Rhinolophus ferrumequinum: one gene and its partner. The protein of the gene in region 1 interacts with the protein of each later gene in a biochemical or structural test. Links are inferred from orthologs where the notes say so. Each region holds a gene or a part of one and is shown on either strand. Other genes may lie near its edges.

Region 1 (14,563 bases):
TGGCTATCCAGGGGTGGCCTCCTCTGAGCAGAAAGGAACAGAGATGCTGAGCGCTCCAGATCTTTCTCATTTGCTCCTCACACCTCCTGGGAGGCATAAACGGAAGGGGTGGTTACTCCCATTTTACAGATGAGAAAACCAAGGTTCAAAGAGGTGGCAGCCTCACCCGAGGCCACCCAGGGAGTAAGCTAGGGCTCACTCCAGCTCTGGGAGCAGGGTAGGAGATGGGTGTGAGAAGTTCATTGAGGCTGAGTTGGCTCAGGACGCCCAGGGCCATCTGAGGAATGGGAGTGTGTGTCCCCCTAGTGTGATCTTTAGCAGAGCTGTCCCCACAGTGCCCACGTCTTCCATCCACTCCCACTGCCCTCTGGGGGTCCAGGCCAAGCCTTAGGCATTCTGGAGAAGGACACATAGGGTCCCTGGCCACAGCCCAAATCTACTCAGCTTCTCCTTGGAATTCCACACACCCTGGGCGTTTGGCAGGAGCTGGAGTGCTTCCTTTGAACAATTTGTCTTTCACGGCACATTTGCATCAATTACCCCATTGTTCCTGTCACCTCTTCCTGGACCACTGGGCTGGCAGGGCCCTGACTCCCTGTGGACGTTGGGGCGGTGGGTGTGGGCGCCCCCTGGTGGCCGGTCTGCACCACCCATCTTGGTGCCCAGCTTAGCTACTGACAGAGCAGCCTGATGGCATCTCCTGTGGTGACACTCCGACCCCAGCTTACCACTCCCATCCTGTTCCCAGGGTCCCTGCGTGGAGTGAGAGAGAAAGCTCATGGGGCCGAGAACGCACAACGCAGGCGGTCAGGCTGGAAATTATTTTCCGTTAGAATTTTGAAGGCATTTTTTTCCCATTAAAAAAATAGACCATATATATGTAGAAAGAGCAGTTTTAGGTTTACAGAGAGATCTCACAGAAAGTAGTTTCCCTAACTGCCGTCTTCACATCCCCACATGCAGTTTCCCCTATTACTAAAATAGTCAGGCGCTGAAGTAATGACTTTGTTACACTTGATGAATGCATACTGATACATTGTTATTAACTAGCTTCCCATCCAGCTACAGATTTGTATGGGGCCCCTTTTCTGTCTGGAGGTTTTAAACAGCTCCTTGGTCCCTGTGCCTTAAGTTTTTGCTGTAATGGAGCTGGTACTTGGTGAGGACTGTCGTCTCGGTTCTGGAAGGTGTGGGTTTAATTTCTTTGATAACTACCTCTTTCTAAGTTCTGTGAACCTCCAGCTAGGACTGTATTGCACCTGCTGGGTGATCCTTTAATTTTTCTTATCCTTCCTGATCTAGTTCCCATCTTTTTTTTTTTTTTTTTTGGTACTTTCTGGAAAATTTCTTCAACTTTATTAGCCTTCTACTGAATGTTTTATTGTTCCTATCATATTCCTATTTTCCAAGAGGTATGAAATGTGATCAGACAATATGATGAATGTTTAAATTAAAAAAACCTTATTCCAGTAAAGGACACATTGCCATTAATCCCCCTCAGAAGACCCCCCCCTCGCTTCAAACACCCTTATCCCATGTTCTTACCACTTTCTGAAGCAGTTCTGGAAGTCCTCTTTCGAGAGTGTCTAGTTGCGCTGTCGTGGCTGCCTCGATGTCCTGAATCATTTTGACTTTGGGGAAGAGCCAGAAGTCACAGATCTCGTGAATAAATTGGATGAGGGCACACCGTAATTTTTTTGTTGGACAGAAATTGCCATACCAGAAGAGAGGTGTTTTTATTTAAACATTTGCTGTATTGTTTGATCACACCTTGTAGTCGGTAGATCACAAATAAGTCACATTCACATTTTGTCTCTGACACACACACACACACACACACACACACACACACACACACACACACGCGCGCGCGCGTGCGCCCTCTGGTGGACAGGAGCAGAACTTCACCTCCAGCTCCTGGGAAGAGGCCTATGGATGCCGAGTGTTCTCACTCGAAGACGCACACAGAGAAGGACCGAAATGAAAACCACAGTAGTTCCTTAGGAAAATTTCCCTAACTTGTCATTTTAGGGACATTTGATTAACTCACGACACCACACAATCCGCAGAGCTCGCTATGGTGGCCAATCCCACACTCGGTAGCTGGCAGATGAGGGGTTTCTCGACTGGTTCCTGTTACTCGCTGTCATTGACAGAATGAAAAATCAGACTTCATTTTTCTTTTTAAATTTTTATTGGGGAATATTGGGGAACAGTGTGTTTTTCCAGGACCCATCAGCTTCACATCAAGTCGTTGTTTTCAATCTAGTTGTGGAGGGCTCAGCTCAGTGGCCCATGTGGGAATCGAACCGGTGACCTGGGTGTCATGAGCACTGCACTCTAACCACTGAGCCAACTGGCCCCACCTCGGGTGGGTTCTTTGCTCTGCGTGATTCCAGGAACACTGCGTTGGTCGTTTGGAGAGTATCAGCGCTCCGAGCCATGCAGATCTTCCCAATGTTAACACATTCCATCCGTCATACAGTGGTTTGTGAAAAATCAGTCTTTAATATCACCGCCCATCGTATGGGAAGAGCCTGCAGGTCTGGGAGGCTGTCGCGCTCACATGGCAGATACGGATACTCTAAGATTTCCATTTTCTCTTGAAAGCTGGAATTTTATAAGTGGCCACAAATATGCTCGGTTGTTTCCCTTGAGAAACCAGGCCCACTTTGTTCATTTTTGAAAAAATATCTACTAATATTCAAGTCCAACTACCTATAGTTTTTCAGTCAGTCATTCTTTCATGTAAAAACGGAAAAGCAGCTGGAAGTGCTATGCTTCACACTTTGGTAGATGGCAGGGAGCTCTGTGCACAGCGACCATATTTACTAGAATAGGATGAGCCCTTTGCTTCCTCGGGGCACCCGTCCATAAACTGGCTTTTCTCCGGAGGGTGCATGGGGGGGCAACGGTGACTGCTGGCGCAGTTTGAGAAGAGACAGGTCTGTCCTGCTAGGCCAGACGCCATCCCATCTCCCGCTCTGGCTGGAGGGTGAATTCATTTCACCCCAGCCTTCTGAGCCCCTTTTGGTCCCCGGACTGTTCCAGTGGTTACCCCCTCAGTGTAGTCCTGTGTCAATGGTACCCTTTCCCCACTGGACCAACAGCGGGTGATCAAAGGGGAGGGTTTTGGGTTGTATTCTCCTACAGCCTGTGACAAGGAGAGAAGAGTTGGGCAGAGGTTGTGACCCATGTCTGCCTGGGAGTCTGTGCTGTGGTGTGGGAGGAACACAAGGAGAGGCCTTCTCTTTCTTGCCCTGAGAGGCAAGTGGCAGCTTCCCCACCCCCTCCCCCCCTGTGGAAAGGGCAGGGGCCCATGGAAGCCCTATCCTGGGAAGGGGGTTTGGAGTTGGGCAGAGGTTATCTCATGCTGGCGGGGGTCCTGAAGGGACTTCATTGGAACCTCTGATGAAGAAGGCCCCTCCTGAGCCGTTCCTCCCCAGACTCCTGCAGAAGAGCTATGGCGTGGGGCAGGAGTGTGAGGTGAGCGGAGAACGAGGGCTGCTGAGGTCTGGGGTTTGGTCAGAGAGGCATGGCGGGGGAGGAGAAAGCGAGCAGGGCCAGGGCCCTTTGTCTGTGTTGGTGCCTGTCCCCTGACATTCCAGGCTCTGGCCTGGACACTGGTGGAGGGGGTGGTCATAGCTCAGGGTGACCTGAGGGGCTAAGTTTAACATCAACAAAGGTCCAGCTGCCCAGCTGTTGTTTCTGTTTCAGTCTGAGAACATTGTTGGAGGGGACAGTTGTTCATCACCGATAACGTCAGCTTGTGGCTGTGACAACACCTCCCTCGGGGAGGGGGCAGCTGGTGCCTGGGCCTTCTGAGCACCTTGCCCCTATACCCTCAGCCATGAGCTCCCCAACCTTATTTCAGGACCCCCAGGGAGCAAGCAAGACGTCCTCCTGAGCCCTGAGAGGCAATTTCCTGTAGAGTCTTTGGTCAGAAGGCTCCTCTCTGTGTTGTCCATTCAGCTATTCAATGAGCATTTATTGAGCACCTACTATGTGTCAGGCACTGTGCCCCTTTTGGTCCCCTGCCTCTGTTCCAGTGGTTACCACCTGGGTGTAGTCCTGTGTCCACAGCGAGCTGGCCGCAGAGAAGAGCACGGAAGCCATAACCGGGCCCTGCTGACGGGGCACGTGCTCTGGGCAGCAGACACACCTGTGGAGACACACCTGTCTCCTGGGGACCTTGAGTGAGTTGCTTCACGTTCTGAGCCCCACTTCCTCTTCGGTGAAGGGGGCTGAGGACGGTGCCTGCGTGGCTCACGTTTGTCAGGCGATTGCCTCGTGCAGACAACCCCGTCTCAGCTCACAGCAGCCTGCTGAGGGGGACTGACTGCTACCCCATTTCACAGGGACAAACGGAGGCTCAGAGCCAGTGTCCCTGGTGGGTGGCAGAGCTTGTGCGACGCACCCTGTGCTGTGTCTCCAGTGCCACTGGCCTTCCTAGTGAGGCCCTTTGTGGCAGAGATTGAGGGGTGACGACTTTTTGGGTCTTTTCTTTGTTCCTTCTGCTCTAGCTCCCCAGCCCCCAGCCTAGCAACTGTGGGGGGCGGCTTCAGATGGGGTTGTGCAAGGCAGAGAGGGGCTGTGCTGGCTGTCACCAAGGCCAGGGCCCCGGCCGTGGGGGGAGGGGAGCCGGGAAGACAGATGCCCCTGCGCCTGGTCACTGGCTAATTTGGGCTCCTTGTTTCTCAGACAATGCCTGGCAGCGGGGCTGACAGGTGCCGGCCACTGAGGGGACAGGCCTGACTCCACAGCTATGGCCTTCTAAGGATTAGCTCTTCCAGCCGGACACATTCTTCCCTATCCTGGGAGGGGACTGTGGGACCTGGGGCAGGGGCCTGGCCCCACTCCGCCCCTGCAGAACTTGAGGAGGATTCCCCCACACACACACATGAGCCTCAGAGTCCGTGAGTCCCTGTGGTTTCTGCAGACGCGTCCTCTGGATGTATTCACGTCTGGACCACATTTTGCTCTTCTCTGTGTCAGTCTCCTCTCTGCTTTTCCTTTTCCAAAAGCAGTATAACCTTGCTCACAATTCATTCTTTTGTGCATATGAAGGTATTGTAAGAAAGTTCTTGCGTAAATTAAAAACATAAGCAATGCCACAAACCCCCGTGGACTCCGCCCCAGCCCCTGAATTCCTTCTCTGACCCCAGATGCGCCTCGGCTGCTGGCGGCCCTTACTTTCCATCCCCGCCCCTCCACCTGGAAGCCTGCGTCCCCGGCCACCACCATGACTTCCCAGACCTTGTCCCTTCTCCCTGGCAGCCTTCCAGAGTGGCGTCTCCCCAGGTTGACCTGACCCGAGCTGCAGTGTCCAGGGGGCAGGGCCTTGGCCCCTCCCTGGGCACGGTGGGGCTGTCGCCTTAGAACACCCGTTGCCAGCTCTCTCCCCCACCACACAGGGCACACGGTGGCATGGCGTGGCTTGCCAGGCCTCTCGCTGGCCTCCAGCGGGTCAGCATCCTGCTTGTCCTGGCCCAGCCGGCGCTCCTGGCCCACGAGGTGGCCGACGATAATAGCCACGGGATTAGCATAGTCGGCCTTGTCCTGCTCTGACTATAGGTGGGTATTATGTGTTCACCCACCATCCTAAAAATACCCCGTAAACAGGTGCAGCCCCGAGGGCACCAGCCCCCTGGGTTCTCTAGCACGCGGCTGGAGACAAAGGGAGGGCGGGAGAGGGGAGTTAAGTTCACTGACATCCAAGCCTGGGACGAGGGGTGCCATTCGGAACCTGGGAAGCCTTGATGCCTGGAACCCCAGCTGGAGAGGGGTGCAGAGCCCCTGCAGGCCCTCAGGCTTCCAGGAGCTGTTGCTGTGGCGTGGGCTCAGCAAAGGACCCTCTCTGCAGCACAGTTACGTCACCCCCGGGCACACGGGCACCAGAGCCACACGGGTCCCCCCCAAAGATCGGGGCGTGGGCTCGCGGCCTGATGTCCATGTCTCCCTGTAAGAGACGGAGGGTCGTGGAGACGTTCCCCGCCCCTCGCCCCTCGGCCCAGTGCCGTCACTGCTCTGGCCCCCTTGCGTCTTACTTCCCATCCTCTCCCCTCTCTGTCTCCCTGACTTGACTCAGGTGCTGGCCTCTCTGTGCACAGGATTTGCGTGTCCTCCTGAGCCTTGTGCACACGTCATCAAGCCCGTGGGCCCATTCCGTGTGCTGCGGTGCCTGCCCTGGGAGCTGTGCAGTGGGAGGGGCAGCGGCTCTGTGCTATTTTTACTGGCAGTTCCCATTGGCCATAGTTTTCATAGCCTCCCGTCAGCGCGGGCCCCAGAGTCTGCAGTCGCCTGCTGGACACCGCCCGCCCAGCTCACGGACACCAAACCAGGTAGGTGTCTGCAGCTCCGAACTTCAGATCCAGGTCAAGCCCAGACCGAGGTGCTAGGCTGGGGTTCCAGGAGAGCACGAGGGCTTGGAGGTGGGAGAAGGCATTTCTTGCCTGTACAATTGGATTTGTTGGCCGTAGAGTCCACGGTGTTATGTCCCATTGGGTGCCGCGTCTCCTGCCCCGAACTTTGCACAAGTTGCTCCAAGGGCCCAGGGCAGAGCCTGCTGGGCTCTGTCTTCACACTGGCAGCCCAGCAAGTCCCAAGAGGAAGAGACCACCTGGGGGAGGAGACGGCATGGGGGATCAAAGGGCAGGGCGGGGCTGCGTGTGGAAATTTAGGAAGAGCCTGGTGGGCAGCAAAAGGGAGCAATGCCTGCATCAGACAGAGAGAAGGTCCTCTGGCAAGCAGGACTCGGGGGCCTGGAAGACTGAACCCCAAGCCCCGCTGACCGCAGACATCTCTTGCTTCTTTTTCTTTGTCTCTGAGGGACGGGCTTGTCTCGCTTTGCCGTCCATCTGGACAGCAGGACAACAGCAGGTGAGGGCGAAGGCCCCCCTCCTCCCACCACTCCTGGCTCTGAGAAGCAGCAGGCAGATGGCGACAGCATCTGGGTTGGGGCATGCGAGTCTGCACACGAGTGCGGGCAGCTTCTGTGCTGGGCTCCGTGGCTGGGGGGGCGGGGGGGGGGGCTCAGGCAGTGCCTGCCAGCAGGTTTGAGATTAGGCTTTCCTGGTCAGAGCTCAAGATGGGTGTGTGGTGTGTGGTCAGCCAGGGAGGACCAGGGTGCCCTGGAACTGGACCCAAGGTCAGGGTGGGGAGCAGCGGGAGGCACACGAGCCTCACTTGAAATGTGTGTCCCCAATGAGCAGTGTGCAGAGAACACACACACACACACACAATCACACTCACACTTATATACGCGGCCTCTGTCCTGTTGGTTCAGTTGATACACCGCCCGCCCCACGGGGCCTCAAAGAAGGACAAGCCCAGCTCTGAGTCAAACCCCGGCCTCCTCTCCCGGCTGTGGGTCTGTGGTTATCTCCTTGCTGGCCCCTTTTGGGGGAGATGGAATGCCGGTCTCCAGCAGCCCATTTGCTGCTATCTACATCCTGACTTCTTATCAGGTCCCTGCTGTCTTCCACAGGACCTGTCAAGGGGTCCTGTCTGGTGGGTATCACAGCACAGGCTGGGGACCCCTTGGCCTGGCATTTGTCAGTGGGGCAGGCCCTGGAGCTTGGCAGGAGGCCTGGACTGGCCTGGGCAGGTGGGCCCCACACTGGTGATGGGGTTTCTGAGGCAGGCCTGAGTATGGCTACATGCCCACCAAAGATGAGGCACATCCTGGGGAAAGAGCCAGGAGGCCCACAGGGCTGAGACCCGGGACCCTTGGGAGGGCAGTGATGATGGATGGACGTCCCCGGGTGGTTCTTCCCCAGCTAGTGTTTCTTTTTTGATTTTCTCAGTATCTCTGGAGGAGCAGAGCCCTCAGAATAAACAGCTGGCGATAAATCTAATTTCAGCCAAGCATGCTGAGAATGTATAGATGGATGGACGCCCACTTCTCCCTCTGTGCCCAGGGTGACAGCTGAGACTCCAGGCCACCCCCCTCTTCTCCAGGCTGCACTCTCCCTGGTGGCAGAGGCAGAGGCAGGGCCCAGAGGGTCTCTGGTGGGAGATTCAGGAGGGAAGCCAGCCCTGCTCCTGGCGGGGCGGTGCTTCTTGGGCACAAAGGGAGAGGTGAGCGTTAAGGCAGAGGCAGGAGGTCACCTGGTCAGGAGGTGGCTCTGGAGTGAAGTTGCTAGAACCACTGCCTGCTCCCAACCAGGTTCTCGGACCAAATCCGGACGGCTGACCTGGTGCCCCGACCCCATGCACACTGGTCCCCACCCGGCCCTCATGACCCAGCGGCGGACTCCTGTCCTGCCCTGCACACCACCCCACGCCCCCCCCCCCCTGTGTCCAGGCCCAGGCAGGATGGCCAGTCAAGTCTGGCCCCACTGCAGCCTCAAAGACCCCCTCCTGGGCTGGGGTCCCCAACAGCCAGGACTAAAGGGTCCTCCCAGAGGAGAGGGCTCCTGTGGTAACCCTGTAACCAGTGCCGTCTGCTCTGGAGGATTGTCTTTTGCTTCCAGGTGACACTCAGTCTGGGCAAAGCTTTAAAGAGCTAAATGTTACGTGGCAAACTTCTCTAAGCCCTAATTTTGCAGAGGAAACGGGCCTGGAGGGGCAGGCTGAGGATCAGGGTAGAACACACTCGGCCTTGCCTCCCTGCTCACCCACTCCACGTGGGGCGTCCTCACGACCTCAGCCCAGACTCCCAGCCATGTGGCTCCCCGGAGACCAGCCCTGGGCACAGTTACACTGCGCGGAGCGTGAACGGCAGCCCCTGGAAAGATGCACAAGTGTTTATCCCACCCTGACCCAGGGGACCCATGCTGTCTGGTTTCTTCTTCCTGTTGCCTGAAGAACACACAGGGTGGGGGTGGGGCTGTAACTGTCCTCATGAATGATTCTCCTGTGCCCCCAGGTGCTGCGCCCACCGCCATGCCGGAAGTGTAAGTGGCCCCGCCCCACGCAGGTCCCCTCACAGCACATTCAGACCCAGAGTTCAGGCTCCATCTGTCCAACCTCCGAAGCCTTTCCCCGAAAGGCCAGACCCGAGAATAGGAACAGCTCCGAGTGCCTGCGTCCCCAGCGTCCCCACGCGTCCTCCCGGCGTCTGAGCAGAACTCACACTCCCAGGTCACCTGGGGAAGACCACCCTGGCCTGTTGTAGACTTTGTCCATCTGCACGGGTCCGATGAATCACGTGTGCCAGGCCGTGATGTAATGCTGGCCCCATGGAGGAACCATCCCCCACAAGCCCAGGGATGGAAGCTTCTCGCTGCAGAACCCCTGGCGAGGCTTCTCTGACCCCCGCCCCCCACTTACAATGGGGAGCATCTCCTGCAGCCCAAAGGGCCGGGCTTTCACTCTGTTCTGCTGGGACCCTGGAATTGGCCCACCCGACACCTGGCCTCCCCAGCTTGTCCCCATGGTTCTGTGGCTGCATGTATTATATGCATCGTTCATACTCTGTCTTATGTTCTCTCTCCCCCAACCCTTCCTGTGACGGATGCCTGAAGCGAGGTGAGCTTTGAGGGAGCTCTGTCCTGGCTAAGTCTTCAGACTGGTGAGGGTGGGGTGGGCATTGGGGGAAACCAGAGAGAGCTTGGCTCAGGGATGGAGGGCTGCCCCGTGCTCAAGGTCACTGGAAGGAGGGGGGCTGGGACGGCAGCAGAGCTGGCTGTGACTGCACCCTCCCCGAGCACCGAGCGAGTTCCCGTCACCCACTCTGGGAGCTCGTCCCGCCCACCTATGTTCAGGAGGTTAACACCCAGAGTGCCCAAACATGCACGTCTCTCATGCTTTTCAGGGGGTTTGCACACTCCTGATCTCGTTTTGCTGCAACGACTCTGTGAACGAAGCCGGGGTGGGGGCCTAGGGTTTCTTGTCTGCAGACGGGAGGGTGCTGCCCATAGAGGTCATGTGACCCACACCGAGCCTGGCAGGTTTCCAGCCACAGCCCCTAACTGATGGCAACTGACTGCAGCATTCTCTGAGTGGGAGAATTCTGCCCAAGTCACAAGGATGAGCTTCTGAGGGGCCCTAGGCGAGGGTTCTGGATGACGATGGTGACTGGTGGCACGCATTGGGGCCCGGCCCAGGGCTCCTGCTCTGCAGCCTCCGCCTCACCCTGTCTCTCCCCTACTCATCTTCAGAGAAAATCCAAGATCACTGCCTCCCGCAAACTCCTGCTGAAGGTGAGGCCGGGTGCTGGCTCTGGGGCACACTGCATGGGGGTGGGAGGGACCAGAGGGGAAGCAGTGCAGACAGAGCAGCTGTGAGGATCCTGGGAGGGGAGGGGAAGGAGGCAGGGGGTGCCTGGCTGTCCCCTGGAGCCAGGGGTCCAGGGCTGGGGCAGAGGGACTTGCCATTTTGCTAAGAGTTTCTCTCTTTGGAGCTTTGTGAGCCCAGACAGACAGAAGTGGGAAAGAGGAGCCTGGGAGGATGAGCACGTTCCAGGGCCCACGAGCGGCCTGCCTGTAGCCAGCACACACACTTGCACACTTAGCGACCTCCTGCTCACACGCTCCCAGGGCTGCCTGGTCTGGGCCCTGACGAGCGTGTGAGCCCGGAGCCCACAGAGCCGGCCGAGGCCGGGCTGGCGCAGCTGGTGTCCGCCTCCCCTCCGGCCGGGAGGCTGACCTTCCCTGTCCTGCCCTGTCCTGCAGAGCCTGATGCTGGCCAAAGCCAAGGAGTGCTGGGAGCAGGAGCAGGAAGAGCGCGAGGCCGAGAAAGCCCGCTACCTGGCTGAGCGCATCCCCACGCTGCAGACACGGGGCCTGTCCCTCAGCGCCCTGCAGGTGAGCCCTTCAGGCTGGGGCTGGGGGTGACGCCGGGGACCAGGTGGCAGGAGCTGAACTAACGGGCTCCCAGCTCTGGAAGTTACTAGCAGCCCTTCGTTTAACCTTCACAATCCCTGTGAGGTTAGGTCCCATTTACAGACACAGGAAGCGAAGTGAACTTGGTGGGGCTGAGCCCTCCTGGCACGTGGACAGGGAGGCAGCAGAGAGGGGCAGGACTCGGGATGCCCCAGGTCTGCAAAGACTTGCCGTCCTTCCCCGCAGAGGCGTCTTGAATGTTTTTAAAACACTGCTAACTGTTCAAATGCCAGTGTCTGCAGACGAGAGAGTGGAAGGAAACACATTAAAATGTCACCGAGGGTTATCTCCCCCGGTGGCATCACTGGTCATTTTTATTTGATTATTTTTGTTTAAGACGCAGTTTTCAAAATTTCTATAATTAGCTTATTTTTACCACAAGATGACTTTTTAAAGAAAACGAGACACTCAGAAAGGAAGACACGGGGCTTCGACGCCCAGAGCTGTCAGCAGTCAGGGACCTCAGGTGTAGGGAGGGGCTCCTCAGCTTCTGTCTAGACTACAGGTTCCGCCAAGTGGAGAGGGCCCAGGGACCCGGCCTGGAGGCAGAGAGGGAGGCTGGACACCCAGGGCCCCCTCCGCTCCATTGCTGTGCCCCAGGACCTGTGCCGGGACCTGCACGCCAAGGTGGAGATGGTGGACGAGGAGAGATACGACATTGAGGCCAAATGTGTACACAACACCAGGGAGGTGAGCCAAGGAGGGGCTTGGGGGCACCTCCTTCTGCAGGGCCTGGGAGGTGGCCACGTAGCAGGACACTCTGGCCCCATAGGGCTGCAGACGGCAGAGAGAGGACAGCCACACAGACAAAGGCCCACACTTCCTCCCTGCTGGCCCACGGGTTTCTCACTCTACAAGACTCACTTGCCTGCAAAGGACGTCTAACCTTTGCAGACAACTTCCGTGTGCCTTTGATCCTCCCTACACACCTGTGGGTGAAGTAGATGCTATCGTCTGCACCTCCCAGAGGAGACACTGAGGTTCAGAGAGGCCCGGGTCTGGGGAGACCCCCACTCCAGGATGCAGGCTCCCTCGGTTCCATCCAGACCCTGCTCCACGGAAAGGCAGGGCGTCTGCTGCTACTGGGCACTTGTCCTGGGGGAAGGCGTAGGGAGGGGCCAGAGCCACTCCCCTCCTTCCCATTTCTCTCCTGGTGATCTGTGGGCTCACTGACCTCCCCAGAGAGCACACCTTAGAAGTCCCCCAGGGGTCAGGACCTGGCCTGTATCTATCTCATGGGACCAAGGCTGTGCCTCAATGGGCTGCCCTGGAGGTTCTGTGGGGAGGGACGAGTCAGGAGGCTGGGGAACGACAGGAAGCAGGGTTTCTGTGGGGCGGGCTGGCCCCAGCGGTTCATGGCCATGCCACAGGGAGGCCAGCTGGCTTCATCTGTCCACTTACCGGCCGTTTGCTTATCAACAGTCAGGTGGTGGCTACTTGCAAAGTCGTGGGTGGGTCTGCGTGTCTGGTCGCCTGGCCTGCAGGCTGGAGCAGTGGGGCTCAGCCCTGGTCGGCCCCCCAGTGAGCCCCGCCCCGACCGTCCGCTGCAGATTAAGGACCTGAAACTGAAGGTGCTGGACCTCCGTGGGAAGTTCAAGCGCCCGGCGCTGCGTCGCGTGCGTGTGTCCGCCGATGCCATGCTGCGCGCGCTGCTGGGCTCCAAGCACAAGGTGTCCATGGACCTGAGAGCCAACCTGAAGTCTGTGAAGAAGGAGGACACGGAGAAGGTGAGGGCCGGTCCCCAGCACCTGTCACCCGCCAGCCTCCCCCGTCACCCCTGACAGCCGTGAGCAGGCCCTGGAGCTCCTGTCAGAACATTCTAGAAGCCGCGGGAGACCAGCGATGGAGTCTGATCGCGCTCATCATTCCCTCAGGCTGCTCCCAGTCTGAGGAGGAGACTGGGACACAAAGAAATCCACAGCGAGAACAAAGCACCCCATGAAGAGGGTGGGGGTTTAGGGGGGCTGGGAGGCACTGTGCTCCGTCACTGAGGGAAACTCAGCAGGTCACCACAGTCCCAGCACGCCGGAGCAGACGTTAGGGACCCGAGTTCAGGCTCTTACTCAGCAACAAACCATTCCTGGGGGGTTGAGCTCGCAGCGTCCGTGCCCAGAATGTAAGAGGCCTGGTGGGGAGAAATGGAGGACAGATATGGTCTCTGTCCCAAGACGCTTTGTACGGAGAAGAGGCGGACCAGGCAGTGTGCTGAGCAAACAGGAAATGAGCCCAAGGAGCAGGAGGAAGGCTTCTTGGAAGAGGTGGCCTTGAGCTGCTGAGGGTCAGACCGGGAGGGTGGCGTGGGGGCCTGGAGGCGAAGCTGGGCTGCGGTTCCTCGGGGTGGGGACGGGCCCCGTAAGCCCCACGGGCCCCCTGAGCTCCAGACCCACGCAGCTGCCTTCTGCCTGTGGAGCCTCAGCGTAGCGAGGGCCCGGTAAGTATCTGACGCACGGGTGGCCTGCCCGTAGGAGCGGCCCGTGGAGGTCGGCGACTGGAGGAAGAACGTGGAGGCCATGTCTGGGATGGAAGGCCGGAAGAAGATGTTTGATGCCGCCAAGTCTCCCACCTCCCAGTAAAGGTACCTGGAAATCAGCCCCTGTCCCCTCGGAGGAGAGGGACCCCAGGACAGGGCTGGCGGGCTGCCGTGGGGTGCAGGGGTCTGCTCTCACGGGTTCAGCACCATGCGACCTTGGGCCCCTCGTTTACAGAGGGTCCCCTCATCTGTAATTGGGGGTTACATCAGGTCAGGGGTTCTCCAAGTGTGGTCCTGGGGCCAGCGGCACGGGTGCCACCGGAGCTGCCAATCACCGGCCCCACCCGGGGCCCACTGGATGGAATCCCAGGGCCGGCCCTCCGGGTTCTGAGGCAGGAGTTTGAGGCCCACTGGGTTAGATGACCCCTGAGGACACTCCAGCGCTGACCTGAAAGTCTAGGCTCTTTTAACTTCCTCAGCCAGTTCTGCAAAGCACCCAGCACCCCAGTCCCTGCCCCGTGGGGGTCCGTTCAGAGAAGACTTCCTGATCTCTGAGGAAATCGCTGAGGAAACTGGACAGAGCAGCAAAATTAGGCCCCATGAGACCCTCTGGGGGTGTGAAGGGGACATGTAAGAGGACAGGGCTCTGCCACAGCCCTGTCAGAGCAGGCGTTCACCAGAGAAGTGATCGGTGGTGTCAGGTGTCACGCGGGGTGACACCTCAGAAGCAGAGGCGCGAATTAAGCAGGAAGGAAGGGGGCTGTAAGGCCAGGCTGGGCAGAGCCCCCTGTGAAGGAGCAGTGCCTGGGCTCGGTCAGGAGGGAGCTTGGGGCCCTGGGCCGAGAAGCATCGTGGGAGGTGGTACAGCCCGGGGCTGCCTGTGCTTGGGGTCAGTCGGGGCCACTGGGACTGATGGCTGCCACCTCTTTGTCCCCACAGGCCACTTGCAGCACTGTCCCTGGACCCCCTGCATGCTCCTTCCTCTGCATCTCTCTGCACCCCCCAACCCATCCTGCCCTACCTCTCCTTCCAGCCTGAGTGCCCTCCTCCAGAATCAACAGACACAAGAGAGACATGGTTCTGAAGACCTCCCCCCAGCAAGGTGGGCACCCCCCACACATACTGGTGCTGTGCCACGGATGTAGCACCTACCCCCAGCCCCCTGCCACATCCTTCCTTGGCGGCTATGACATATAGAGTGTCACAGGCATCGTGGCCCGTCCATTAAAACCCCAGTGTCTGGTCACTTTTGTAGCTCTGGCCGTGA
Region 2 (14,563 bases), on another chromosome or scaffold:
TCTGTTCTAGGGCTTGTGGGAGGAAGTCTACGACTGAGAGTCCAGGAGTATGGGGACACAGCCATCTGAAGAGAGACAGCACAGCAATAGGCCCAATGCCCTCTCACTGCAACCCGGAGCTACACGGACCCCCAGATTCCCCATCTCAGAGTTGGCTGGGAAAGAAGGAGTGCTTTCTTTCTTTGCCATTAAAATCCGTATTGCAAAAGAATGAAGTTGGACCCCTTCCTCACACCATATACAACTCAAAATGAATCAAAGACCTAGAAGTAAGAGCCAAGACTATAAAATTCTTAGAAGAAAACGGTTGCAAATCTTTATGACCTTGATTTAGGCAAGATCTGACACCAAAAACACAAGTGACCAAAGGAAAAAAGAGATAAAATGAACTTCACCAAAATGGAAAACTTTTGTGTTTCACAGAACACTATCAAGAAAATGAAAAGACAGTCCACAAACACAATGGGAGAAAATATCTGCATTATCACGTTTCTGAGAAGGGTCCAATATCCAAAATATATAAAGAACTCCTACAACTCAATAACAAAAAGACAAGTAACCTAATTTTTAAAAGTGCAAAGGATTTGAATAAATTTCTCCAAAGACATGCAAATGACAATAAGCATGTGAAAGGGGGCTCAGCATCCTTAGTCATCAGGGAAATGCAAATCCAACCCACAGTGAGATTTGACTTCACACCCTCTCCGATGGCTCTCAGAAAGATGGACAGAAACAAGTGTTCGCAGAGACTTGGGGCAATAACGTATAATTGCTGGTGGGAATGTAAAATGGTGCAGCTGCTATGGAAAAAAATTCAGCAATTGTTCAAAAAGTTAAACAGTTATCATCTGACCCAGTAATTCCACTCCTACTATATGCTTAACAGAAAGAAAAACAAATGTCCACACAAAACTTCTATATGAATGCTTATAGCAGCGTTATTCATAATAGCTGAAAAGTGGACATAACCCACGTGTCCCTCAAGTAATAAATGGATAAACAAATGTGATATATTCAAACAATAGAATATTCAGTCCATAAAAGGACTGAAGTACTGATTTATGCTACAATATGAAAAGACCCTGAAAACATTATGGTCAGTGAAAAAGAAGCCAGTCACAAAGACATATATTGTATGGTTCCATTTATATAAAACCAAGGAGACAGAAAGGAGATTAGTGATTGCCAGGGGCCAGGGAGGATGGGGAGTGACTGCTAATGGGTACGGGGTTCCTTTTTGGGTGATGAATGTTCTGGAATTTAAATAGTAGTGACAGACGCACAACTTTGTGAATATACTAAAAACCAGGGAATTGAGCACTTTAAAAGAGTGAATTTTATGGTATATCTCAATTAAAAATATCCACACCTCAGCCAAATAGAGTTCCCTGGGTCCACCCTGTCCAATGGCAGCCCCACAAAAGGTGGAACATGTTGGGAACAATTTCAGAGAGGTCACTGATGGGAGAGGTTACGAGGAATCCTTCTGTAAGAGCTCCCACCCTGTAGAAATGGCTGACAAATCTTTAGGACCTGTTTGTTCAAACTCATTTGAAGAGCTAATCTAGTGGTTCCAGATCAGGAGCAATTTTGCCCCTAGGGGATATCTGGCAAAGTCTGGAGACATTTTTGGTCTCCAGATAACTGGGTGGCGGAGGTGCTACTGGCATCTAGTGCGTAGAGGCCAGAGATGTAGCTGAACAGAGAAAGAACAGCCCCCACAACAATTACCCAGCCCCAAATGTCAATAGTTCCACGGTTGAGAAACCCTGATTTAACGATGGGTCAATTAATATTTTTAACACCTTGAATTTATATAACCCAGGGACCTCTTTATAACTGTAATTTCAAACATGTCCATACTGCTCCAAGCAGTAGAGTATGACTCATACCAGAATCACACGTGGGCCAGCTCCAGGCCCATCTCAGACAAACTATCCCCACAGAGCAGTCCAGGCCTTTCTATGCTCAGAAATAAGAAAACCTGAGGTAGCCAGCGAGACCAACTCCTCCAAGACCTGGGTCTTAAGCAATGAATCATACTATCAGCGGGTGGCTTACCAAGTTTTATTCTTACATAGCTAATCAAAGCTTTCTTAAAGTGTGGTATTTCTTAAAATACTAACCAGTAAAGTTTGTCTGAAAGACTTGTATAAGAAATGGAAATTTTTCTCACATAGGGACAGAAAATGTAAAACAAAATCTACAAAAGGAAACTGCTGCAAACTACATACGTTGCTGGTCGATGCTAAATAAAACCCAAAGCACATAGACATATCCCATCTGTAACTGCCATCCTTTTTCCCACATGCCCCTCCACCCCGAAGCCTAGTGGCCCAATACTAGCGCTATTACCCAAATGTCCAGGCTCAATCTAGCACTCCAAGAAAGGTTCAGCTGTCTTACTCTGAGAATACTTCAACAAAAGTTATGTTTTAACCCCGTGTGGGCCTTTAAGACCACAACCCCGTAATTCCCTTCCTAAAAGGCAAGCCTGAAAAGGGAATGGATTCTTTCCTATCTTTGTCATATAAAGGAAAAATAATTAAATGTAAATTATCTAAAAATCTATCACCCAGAAATAACTACTACTAGTATTTTGGTGTATAACCATCTAGAATTTTCCTAGACAAATATATTCATATAAACTCTTTTTTTAATAAAATGGGACCATAATCTACCTACTGTTTTATGTACTGTTCTTTCCATATAGTGATATACTTATTTTCCTATATCAACAAATCCACAGACACACCACTATTTCCCTAGCAGTACAATATCCAATTATCTGGATGTATTCTTTTGATTGTTTTAAATCACCTCCTTTTGGGCTTTTGATTGTTTTCAGTATCTTGCTACAATCTTGGAACGACTACCTTTGTACCTAAATCCTTTCTGCAGTTGCCTGATTTTTTTCCTTAGAATAAATTCTAAGAAGTAGAATCGTTGGTTGTTTTTAATATTCTGGTTTCATACCGCCAAATTTCGCTCCTTGAAGCTTGACGACTCATCCTGTCACCAGCAGCCCATGAAAGCTGTTCCTTTATCTAGAAGGGAGTGCAGAGCGGCTCCACAACATACACTCCCATCAAAGAAAGCTAACTACCCTCACTCACACCTTAAATCCTTCCTGATGATGCCCAAGACAGCAATATTCTGCCAGCACAGACTGATCCCTTAGTTAGTCTTGAGCTGTGAACCAACAACTCAACACTAGTCTATGCCAGGTGTTAGCTGTTTCTCATCTATCTCCATCCATTTGGATGGAAACCTAGCTTAAACACCCAGATGGTTTTTGCTAACCAAAATGCCCTGTAGTGGAGGAAAACCTCTGTATGGCCATATTCTATCTAGTGTAAGGCAGACCTGTCAATGAACATGCTTCTGCCCACATCCCTTCCCTGCTAGGGTGATGTTCCTCTGTCTTCTTACCTCTAGATCAAACTCCAGCCCACCTCCCCTCAAAGCTGAGATCTACACTGGTTTGCTTCCTTGAGCTTGGGTGGTTGTGGGTTTATAGGCAAAAGAGGAAACCTGAGAGGAACTTACATAGAACTGAAAATGCAAGAAATGGGCCAGCACTCTGGGGGCCACGCCAGGGAAGGTAGCCAAGAGTGTCTGGAGGTAGACCTCCAAATCCTTCTCCCTCTTTTCCACCAAGCTTCTTGAGTTTTTCCCAATTATCTTTTTGGGCGGAAGCAGATTTTTATCAATCTTCTTCTGTGCAACAAGCTGTAAAAAAACATAAGCATGTCAAGCACAGACCAAGAGGTCCTGTGACTGTGCAGGACCAAGACTAGCAAGCAGCCTGTCATGACTTCCCCAGCCCCTGTGGCAGCACTACCAGGATCAGTGATCAAACCAGTGCCTCTGGGCTTGGCTGCATTAAGTTCAGTTAGTATCAGAAATACCAATACAATTCCAGACGGGGAGCTCCACCTGGAGACTCTAGATGGAGACATTCAAAACGGCCCATAAAATCACTATCTTTTCCAAACCAGGACAAAAACCAATCAGGGGAGTAGTCTGTCTTTAAAACACTCAGGCTGCAAATGACCCAGACAAAGGTATCTCTCTCCAAAAGAAAGAAATGGAATCATAGCCAGTTTAAAGTACAGGCTGTGGAATAGCTGTAGTCAGGTCAAACAAGTTCAAACCTGTTCCCTCACTGGGAAACTGTCCCAGCATCTCACATCCAAGCTAGGATTGGCAATCTTAAAACTGAAGTTCAAATATGCTCCTTGCACACCGTCTCATGCTAGGGTTGAAATCCCAGAACCCACCAGTGTTTTTTGCCAGTTACATTAATAAACTTTACATTATTAAAGAACACCGTAGGCATGGAGCCTGTTTTGCCCTAACACTAATACACGGCACCAGGAGAACTTGGCCGGAAAGCCCCAAACCCTGAGACTCAGGTCCCCCAGCTCTCAAGGGTTACCTTTTCATGCAGGTCATGGAAGTCACTGTAGCGGTGCTTGACTGTCCATTCATGATTGCCATCAGTGACCTGGATGATGTAAACCTACGAGGGAAAACAGGCAGCCCTTGCCGAGTGAGTAACAAGGAGAGCCCCACCCCGCCCCCAGCAATAGCTGCAGGATACCCAGACCCTCTCAAGCCACAGGACAAAGGTAGGCTGCCCTTCCCCACCAGCCTTTGCACCTGACTCTTGTTGCACAGCAGGGCCCCCTCTTAGCCTCCTCAACGGCACTAACACTGTATCTGGCAGGAACACAGGATGTTTGTGGCTCTAGCCAACAGAGAGGAACGGAAAAGGTGACTATCATATCAAACCATCTCTTTAGATTTTTACCTCCAGTCTCCAGGTAATTCAATGCCCAATCCAACCTGAGCTGCACGCAAGGCCATCTCTTCCAAGGGAGGCAGAACAGGGCCGGGTCTGGCAGGGCTAGCTTCTCTGTTGTATGTTTTCCTAGGTGCCCTGCCCATATCCTGGAAGCAAGCCCTAGTCTAACCCTTTCAGCTGGATCACAGCTGCGATTTCTGCTGCTGAGCCAGTAGTCAAGGCACCAAGAAGCTGATGGATGGGTGGGACGGGAGGATGGTGATGGACTATCAAGCCCTAACAGAAGGCAAAATGACTTAGCCGTCAGGGGAATGGGATCAAGGAAGACCTCAGGTCAACACCTGACTGCCATTGCCTGGCTGTGCTTATGGACGAGTCACTTATATAAGTGACTGGGAAGCCTACGTTTTCTCTGAGCCTCAGTTCTTCCATCTTAAAATCTGCTAGGTTTAAGAATCAAATAAGGTAATGCATGTAAAATGCTTTGTACAGGGCCTGCCATGCAGCAAGTGTTCAATAAAAAGTAGGTGTGTTAATAATATTCAGTTCAGCACACCCGGAGCCAAATGGTAGGTTGGCCTGGATCATCACATCCCCCACACCCATTCAGGAGTGGCTCAGCCCTGGCCAGTAAAGACAACTTTTGGAGCTGACCCTCCAGCTGAATGCTGCCCATGGGTGATTTCCAGCCAGCCACCAGCTTAGAGACCTCAACCCTCACCTAGTGTCCTGCCCCACACTGCAGCAAGCAGGGAAGGGGGAGAAGAAATTAATCAACTCAGCTGAAGCCTCCACAGAGAGAAGCAGCCATTTCTCCAGGGCTGGCCTGTTGCTCCAGGATCCGCCCCCAGCCCCTCTTCCCAGCAAGGCAGCTTCCCTCCTCCTCGTGTCCAAGAAAGGAGAAAGAGCCAGAGGAACGACCCTCAGGAGGAGGGTTAGGATGAGGGCCAAGGGGGTGGGGCGAAGGCAGGGCCAAAGACCCCCACCCTCTGGGAACAAAGAATAGGAGCTGGGAGGTGTTCAGTACGCCCCCACCTCAGGACCAGACCCTGCCAGGCAGCCTACCAGATCCATAGGCCTGGCGTCCAACCCCATCCAGACCCAGGAGGGTTCCATCACTGCCCTAAACCCTCCTCTTTCATATCCTCCATTTCTCCCATAGCCTGGACGGGTGTGTTTGTGTGACTGTGTGGGAGGGGCTTGCTGCCCCAACTCGCCCCCAAAGCCATGAAAACACCTAAGGTTCCTGGGTCTTGCACTTTCAGCCCTGAGCGAAACCCTCAATGCCCCCATGTGTGGGCTCCACCCTTACCTCTTTCTAGTCTCGGCCTGAACCCCAGGCCGCTGGGCCCGACCTGGAGCAAATCTCAACAGCGACCCTAGGTTCCCCAGATCAAGGCCCGGCCCCCTCTCCTCTTTCGCGGCGAACAGGGCCCTGACCCTTCCCCCGATTCCATCCATCAGCGATCCTCTCTTTAATCCCCCTCCTCCCGGACCCCCTCGCCTATCCTCCCAGGCTGGCACCCTTCCAGGCCTAGAGGATCTAGAGGACCCTCCATCTCGTCTAGACGTCCTCTCCTCCCCAGACCCCCTTTATCCCCTGATCCTCCCCAGATCCTCCCCCCGACTAGCCTCCTTTCCTGAACAGGTACTCTTTCCCCAAAAACCTCCCTGGGCTCTACCCTAGGGCCCTCTTCCTGGACCTACGGGGCCCAGATCCATTCCCCAGAAACCCCTATCCCCGGCCCCCTCCTCGAAATCGCTGGCCCGCTACTCATCCCTCCCCGGTCACGGAACCCAGACCTCCTCCCCAATCCCCCGACTCGGACTCGGGGTTCCAGCCGCCACCCCCGGTTCGGGCACCCACGGCCCCAGCACACCGTATACGTGTCCACAAGCTCAGAGCCCACGACGCGCGCCTCCTTGGCCGGTTCGGCCTCCCGCTCCGGCCCAAAGCTGCGCGCTACAGTCGCCATGTTCCGGGTTTCACCGCCTCCCGGCGCAGACTGGCAGCAGCAGGGGGCGGGGTCAGCGTCCCACCATCCCCCGGCTCCCACCGGCCCCCGCCTTCGCCGCGCCCCGTGCCGCCATCTTGGCCCCACCGCCTCCTCTCGTTTTCGCCCCGCCCCTCGCGCATAATTGACAGCAGCCACTCACGGCGCGCGTGCGCAGGCCTGTCCGCTTGCGTAATCTGTATCAGGGTGGTGCCGCCGGTCACGCTACTAGCAACCGGGGGAAACTGAGGCCCCGTGCAGGTAGCTCTAGGCATTACCCTTCCGTGCCCGGGAGGGAGGACAGAAAGCTCCACGCGTCCTCGGCTACCCGAAGCAAGTCACTGCTCCGCCTGGCTTCAGTTTTCCTCTCCGAAAAAGGGAGGCAGTAATCGCGCTAGCTCTTAGACTCGTTCTAGGCTAGAAACGGTTGAAGAAGATACGAGCTGTGCGTAGAGCCTAAACAGGGACAGAGAATTCTGGACCAGTTCTTACCCTCTCCAACACTCGGAAATCTCTGTTACATGGGCTGCTGGAGAATTGAGTGGGTTAATGCATGCAGTGTCCGGTTCAAAGGCAGGGAGCTGGTGTGGTTATCAAGACGGGGCTCTGCATGGTGGGGGTGTGACGGTGGAAGGAAGGGTTATGTGCTGGCCGTTGGGCACAAGACATGTGGTGACCTACCGGAGCTTGAAAGGGGGTGACAGACTAGCCCTGGACCCAGGAACTACAGTGCTGGAATGGGAAGCACAGGCACAGAGATAGAGCCCTAACCCGGGGGCAGACCTGGACCTAAAAGAGGGAGGTAATAGCCCAGCTGTGGAGGGGAAGGAGAGGGAGAGTCTGGCACAGACAGGGTATCTATAGGTGTGTTTGTTGGCTGACTGAGTGCAGCTAACCAAACCCAGAACAGTACTATGTGGAGATGAGAGGTCCGGGTTATGGCTCCTCTGGCACCCTTGGCTGAAGGGCTCCAGACCACTCAGTCCTAAGGTGGGTCAGTGACTTCCTTATCTACCAGTTCATAGCACTGTGCTCAGAGCTTCCCACTCCAGGCTTCCCTTGGCAGGGCCCTATACTCCCAAGCCTCTCCTTGCATACAGCTGCCCTCCACTGCAGAGTGTAAGACAGGGGCTACCAAATCAGCCAGACCTTGGCCACATCACCACCCCTCCAGGATCCTCAGTTTCCTTATTGGAAAGTGGGAGTAATGTCACCCACCCCCCTGCTTGGATGGGAGGTTGAGCTGCTGTGTAGGGGCCTGGCCTGGGCCCCACTACTTTGCAGCTCCTGTCCTGTCCTGGGCTCATGTTTTCATTCATTCAAGAAAACTTTCCAAGGAGTCCCCTAGAGGCCATGGGGGAACAAAGGGAAAGAGACTTGGTCCTTAACAGGCCTTCATCTCCTTTTCCTGGGCAGAGGACACAGGGACTCAGGCCAGTCTGAGATCACCAGGACCGGGGGAGGGGGTGGAGGATGCTCCACACTGGGGGGGGGGGCTGGGCCGGAATGCAGCTGGGGCAGGGCTATTTAAGCCCAGGGCGGACTGCCTGGCAACCCCAGCAGCCTGCCCTGTGAGTCGCCGGCATGGACGACATCTACAAGGCAGCGGTGAGGGACTGGGCTGGGTGGACCCACTGGGGGCTCACTCATCTCAGAGTGCGGGGTGGGGGGGGGAGGGCAAGGTCACTCCAGGGATGTGGTGGGGGCCCAGGAGAGGACCCACATACTTTCAGCCCAGGGCCTCAAGGGGATGGTGGGTCTGGTGTTCTGGGTGTTGAAGGGATTCAGGGACTGGAGAGGATCTGTCAGAGTGGGTAGAGGAGGAGGTCACACCTTGTAGGGTCATGTCTGTCCCTGTCTCCAAGTGTCCAGTCTGTATCCACATCTGTGGTCTCTCAGCCACATCTCTGCGTTTGTGTCTTTGGTCTCTGGAGCTTTGCTTTTCTCAGCTTCTTCTCATCTTTGTTCTAAGCTGTCTGAGTCTCAGCCGCTGTCTCCCTGTCCTCACCCACATTTCTGCCCCTCATATTCTGCTTCCCACACACTCACAATCCCCCCCGCCCCCTCCAGCCCCTTAGCTGGCTGAAGATGCTGTGGAGGAAGGGGGTGACAGGAGTTGTAAAGAGCGGGCTGCAGAGTCAGAATCCTAAGCTAGGGAAGAGACTTTCATGTCTGAAGCAGGCAGGGAAGGACTGGCCACGGGGGAGACTGGGAAGAAGGAACAGAGAACTGGGGCCCAAGCCCCCATCTGGCCCGGCAGGCTCTGGGCTCAACGGCTTAGCCAGGGGTGAGGGCTGGAGAGTGGTTACCTCAAGTCCCTGCAGCCTTCTGGGCTCACTGAGGGGCTTCAGATGCCATTGTATCGGCGGGGGGCTGGTTTGCTGACCTCTCCCTGCGCCAGAGACAAGGACATCTGGTACAGACAGCTGTCCCCAAGGGAACCCCTCCCTTAGCCCTGGGATTGTGGTCCCACTCCTAGGCAGGGAAGGGCTATAGCTGGCTCTGGGGGCACCCCTTCCTATCCTGCAGTAGTCCTTGGAGCTGGGGGGAGCAGCCCTCCGCCTGTGCCCATACAAGGCCTGGCGGGGCTGGGGGCTAATTTTGGCTCCTGAGGCACCAGCAGGCCAGGGGGCCAGATAACACTGCCCCACCCCCTGCATGCCACAGTCCCCAGAACAATCACCAGGTTTAACTTTGTCGCCCGTTAAAAATAGCCCAGTGGCCATGCCGGTCAAATTACAGTGGGTGGCTTTACCTACCCCCACACTGGGTTTATTGTCCCAACCTGAGGGACAGCTGTCCCTCGGGCCACCCAGCTTGGGTTTCAGCAGGGGTCCAATTGGGCACTGAGTGGTCACTAACTATTGTTATTCAGGGTCACCTAGTCAACGGAGGGTTGCCCACCTGTCACCCTGGCCCTGAACCCAATCTCAGTGAGGCCGGCTGGGTCACCTCAGGGTTTTGGGGGCAAGAAGGGAGGACTGAGGCCTCCATTATGTGACTTGGAAATGGCACGCCTCTTCCTGGCTTCAGTCTTCCCACCTGTGGAATGGGTTGGTTTCCTCAACAGCAGCTAAAGCCTGGAGCCTGAGTCCTGAGACCTCTTTTCCTCTCTAGGTAGAGCAGCTGACAGAAGAGCAGAAAAATGGTGAGTACTCCAACACACATGTAAGGAAACAGCAGGGCCGGGCTGTGGGAACAGGAGGACCCCAGGCTGGAGAAGAGAGGCTGGGGTCCCTCTCGTTGTGACCTCAAAGGCTCAGAGGGAAGTGGGCAGATTGGCCTGAGGGGTCTTGCCTTTTGGGGTCCTGGCTGCTGAGCCCTGGCCACTCTGTTTTCCACCCCCCGACCATCGGACACAGAGTTCAAGGCAGCCTTTGACATCTTCGTGCTGGGCGCTGAGGATGGCTGCATCAGCACCAAGGAGCTGGGCAAGGTGATGAGGATGCTGGGCCAGAACCCCACACCTGAGGAGCTGCAGGAGATGATTGACGAGGTGGACGAGGATGGTGAGCTCCTCTGCCCTACAGGCCCCAGACCCCCGGGTCACTGGGGACCTGAATCCTGCGTCTGCCACTTATTATCCTGTGCTCTTGAAGGAACAGTTTAGCCTCTCTGAGCCTCAGTCATCTAATATATAAAGTGGGCATAATGACCACCTTGCTTCATGGGGTTGGTGTGTGGATGCAGTGAGAAAAACGGAGTCTAGGTTCAAGGGCGATACCAGTCATTCTGACCATCCCTCTTTAATGGCCGTGTCACCTACCCTCCAGGCAGCGGCACAGTGGACTTTGATGAATTCCTGGTCATGATGGTTCGGTGCATGAAGGATGACAGCAAAGGAAAGTCTGAGGAGGAGCTGTCTGACCTCTTTCGCATGTTTGACAAGTGAGCATGTGACCATTGACCTCTGACTCCAGCTCTAGCAGAGCTCGGGAAAGTGGAACAGTCTTGTGACCTCCAGGCCTCAGTCTCCCTTTCTGTGTAATGGGAGAGTGGGATGCTCCATCTCTCAGTGGCCCTGCTTCCCTGGGTCATGGGTGGGGCTGCCTCTTCCCCTCCCCAGTCCATGGCTCTGAGACCCGCCCCTGCCCCGGACTCACTGCAGAAATGCTGACGGCTACATTGACCTGGAGGAGCTGAAGACAATGCTTCAGGCTACAGGTGAGACCATCACGGAGGACGACATTGAGGAGCTCATGAAGGATGGTGACAAGAACAATGACGGCCGGATCGACTATGACGGTGAGGGCGTGATGTACCGGGTTTCCCACTGCCCACACCGTGCCAGCCCCCACCTCTGACCCATGCCTGTTACTCTCTCCACAGAGTTCCTGGAGTTCATGAAAGGGGTGGAGTAGAGGCCGACCCTCTCCCAGAGCTGCCTGTGCCACCTTCCAACTCCAGCTGGGCCCTGGGGTGGGGCAAGGGGCCGGTGTCCCCAGGATGTGAGCCTGGGCGTGTCCTTGACCGCAGGCCATCCCTGACTCCCTCCCCAGTCCTGTTCTAGGAATGCAAATAAAGCCATGCTCTCTGGAGGCCTGGTGTCTGGCTTTCATTCCAGGGGCTGTGGACTCTCTTCATCAGGGTTACTCCAGCCCTGATGACTTTCCCCATGCCAGAGCCTGGGCTCTAACCTCCCCTGCACACCACCTTCTGCGGGAAGGTTTAGGCTAGATCAGCGACTCCCACGCTCCATATCCTGCCTGCCCCCTTCCTATCTATAGTGATTCATCACTTGGAGTCTCTGGTGGCCCAGGAATCTGCATTTAACAGGATCCTGGAGGCATGACTTTGGTCAGCCAGTTGGCAGCCAGGGGGTCCTGTACTTGGAGAAATAGCTGCAGCACCCAGCTAGGCCCTAGATGCCACTTGGCACAGCAGCCCCAGCTCTGTCTTGCTGCAGGGCACTTGTTGGAGGGCACCATCTTGAGCAGGGCACTGTGGGGCCTAGTGGGCCTGCAGCTCTAGTCCATCTGCCACTCAACTTGGATTTCCCACTGGCAACATTGATTCCCAGGGACCAAAGGGCCTATCGCCTACTGTAGCTCCTTCACCCATTTGACAGGTGAGGAGCCTGGGTCCCAGAGAGGCACAGAGACCTGTCAAGGTCCTCCAGCGAGTCAGGGGAGAGCAGAGCTGCTTAGCTCCCAGCGAGGGCTCTATCTGATGGACCAGGTCCATATGGGCGTAATTTCTAGTTCCTGTGAACCTCAGAGGCTCCAGCAACCTACTTTCCTTCCCTGACAGGACATGGAGGCCCGAGGCCTGGTGGCTCTCAGGTTAGTGGGGGTGCCCAGGCCAGAACTATAGCCACAACAGTGACACTGGTCTGGGGGGAGGCAGGTGCTGCAAGGAAGTAGAGGTGTGAGCAGTGGTGCTTGCAGGAGGGACAGCTGCCATGTGCCTGGGCTCCTGTCAGAATGTCAGCAGCTGTCCTCGCTCCACCCAGCCACTCCACAGCCTCCCCACCTGTGCCCCAGCCTTAGCATTCCCCAGACAGGCCCAGCATTCCGGAGACAGTCTTGGAATTCTGGAGATGCCTCCAGTGGAGGCCAGTGCCAGCAGGAGCTTCCTGGTCCCTAGAGAGACCTGGGGGGAGAAGAGAAGGGGTCCTCCCAAGGGGACCTGACCTCGGGAGCTGGAGAACTCAAGGACTTACGAGTGCACCCAAGAAAAATGACATCTCAGGAGAGGAGGCAGGGCCACTGTGGGCAACACCACCAGCCAGTGTACCATTCCATGGTTTAGTCACACCTAACATGTGCCTGGCACAGGCTGGATGCTGGGACCCTTCAGAGAGAGGCCCAGTCCCTAATTTAATGGAATTTATAGTCAACTCAGGAAGACAAAGAGGGAAATGGGAAACCAGCACGGTGCCGGAATGAGGATTGTAGAGGTGTGGTGGCCATGAGATAGAGTGGTCCAGGAAGGCTTCCTGGAAGAGGTGGCACTGAGCTGAGGCTTGAAGTAAACCACAGGGAACCAGCCATGTGAGGTCATGGGGAAAGAGACTGGAGCATTGCAGGAGCAGAAAGGCAGAGTTGGGCCGGGAGCTGAGCCTCGGCAACCTTGGGGTGAGATGGCTTTGTGGTTCTCAGCACAGTGGGGCAAGAAGGGTGGAGGGAGGTGAAGGGATTCAGGGCATGTTTGGAACTAGAAGGCTTGAATGTGAGGTGTGAGAAAGTAGGGAGTCAAAGATGACCTTTCACATCAAGGATGAAGCTGCGATTTCCTGAGCTATGGAAGCCTGGGGGAGGCACAGGTTCTTGGCCGTGGGGTATCGGGAAGTAGAGGTTTCTTTTCTCTTTTAGAGTTTTTTTTCTTCAGCTTTTAACTTTTCATTTTGAAATTCTAGGCTTGCAAAAATAGTACAAAGAACTCCCATTAACACTTTACCCAGATTGCCCAAATATTAATGTCTTAAATAGCCATAGGACAATGATTAAGCCCAGGCCACTACTAACTCATCTGCTGACTTCCCTCAAATTTGTCAGTTACCCTACGAATGTACTCTTCCCGGACCAGAATCCAACCCGGGGTCACACACTGCATCTTGTCATCCTATCCATTTACTCTCCTCCAATCTTTGTCAGTTTCTGTCTTTCCTCATCTTTTGTGACTCTGACACTTTTGAAAAGTACAAGCCAGTTATTTTGTAGAGAATCTCATGCAGTTTGGGTTTGTCTGGGGTTTCCTCCAGATTAGATTCAGGTTACGCATTTCTGGCAGGGTGATCATATGAGAGATGGAGAGTTCTTGGTCCATGTCAAAGTTGAAATGCCTCTGGATAGGACGGAGGGGATGTCAAAGCAAGGCTAGATCTAAGTGAGAGGGGAGAAGGAGAGCTATAAACTCAGGTGTCATCAGAATAAGTGCTTCCCCAGGCCTGATCCTGGATGAGTCACCAGAGAGAGATTGTGTAGAGAGAGGTGGCCCCGGACTGGACACTGGGCATCCCTCATAGGCAGTCTGGGGGAAGAGATGTGATCAATGAGGTGGGAGAGACCCTGGGAACGTGAGGGGCCCTAAGAGCCAGGAGGGAAGAAAGGAGGCAGGGAAGACAGCTGATGTTTCTGGGGATAAGGAACTTGGAGTCCTCCGAGGCCTCGGCCACCTGGACACGAGGGTTTCATCGTCGCAGTCGGATGGGAGCCCGGCTGGACAGGGCCAGAGGAGTAAGTGAGATAAAGGGGAAATGGAGAGTGTGGACAACACTGGTGAAGTTTTACAAATGCTCAGGGAACAGAGGGAAACGGACTGAAGCCAAGGGGGGATGTGAGCTCATTTCAGGAGGGGAATCAGGGAATGGCCTGATTGCTGATGGGAACAATCCAGTGAACCTGGAAAAGGAGTGGCGTAAGACGCAGGGCGGAGCTGCAGAAGGTAAGTGGCTACAGGCCTCTGGGCAGTGTTTTAAGGGTATGGTTATAGCGCTGAGCCTGGATGCAAGCTGGGAGAGGAGTAAGGGGGCTCAAGGCAACGAGGGAAGAACTGTGGCAGTGGGGATACCGAGTGCAGGTCGTGTGTCCAGAGGAAGGGATGTGCTGAATGCTGATACAGCAGGTCACATCCTTATTGGTGGAGACGGAGGATGGGTGGCTGAGCTGGGGGAAGGCAAGGACCAGGACCTGAGAGGCCACGGGGCACCGCAGGCATGTGGGCTCCTGCTGGGCTTGGGACAGGAGAAGAGAGAAACCCCAAGAGTTAAGCCCTCTGTGAATGAAACAGGAGGATGGCTGGGCCAGCTGCACAGAGG

The links.
Region 2: the proteins of TNNI1 (region 1) and TNNC1 are reported together in a solved structure, tested with the Homo sapiens proteins (2 studies listed by BioGRID, with this or other methods). The link is inferred for Rhinolophus ferrumequinum from reciprocal best matches to the Homo sapiens genes TNNI1 and TNNC1.

The regions. Positions count from the first base shown.
Region 1 is NC_046310.1:927,783-942,345, forward strand, and holds TNNI1 (troponin I, slow skeletal muscle), read left to right. Parts: upstream 1-6,254; 5' UTR 6,255-6,341; intron 6,342-8,869; 5' UTR 8,870-8,886; coding exon 8,887-8,897; intron 8,898-9,467; coding exon 9,468-9,471; intron 9,472-10,103; coding exon 10,104-10,145; intron 10,146-10,616; coding exon 10,617-10,748; intron 10,749-11,426; coding exon 11,427-11,516; intron 11,517-12,376; coding exon 12,377-12,553; intron 12,554-13,291; coding exon 13,292-13,399; 3' UTR 13,400-13,401; intron 13,402-14,235; 3' UTR 14,236-14,542; downstream 14,543-14,563. UniProt on the Homo sapiens protein: Troponin I is the inhibitory subunit of troponin, the thin filament regulatory complex which confers calcium-sensitivity to striated muscle actomyosin ATPase activity.
Region 2 is NC_046300.1:48,071,022-48,085,584, reverse strand, and holds TNNC1 (troponin C, slow skeletal and cardiac muscles), read left to right. Parts: upstream 1-8,289; 5' UTR 8,290-8,388; coding exon 8,389-8,412; intron 8,413-9,921; coding exon 9,922-9,952; intron 9,953-10,166; coding exon 10,167-10,313; intron 10,314-10,577; coding exon 10,578-10,692; intron 10,693-10,912; coding exon 10,913-11,049; intron 11,050-11,133; coding exon 11,134-11,165; 3' UTR 11,166-11,342; downstream 11,343-14,563. Other genes in the region: NISCH (nischarin), read right to left, coding at 3,550-3,732, 4,442-4,525, 6,691-6,786. UniProt on the Homo sapiens protein: Troponin is the central regulatory protein of striated muscle contraction. Tn consists of three components: Tn-I which is the inhibitor of actomyosin ATPase, Tn-T which contains the binding site for tropomyosin and Tn-C.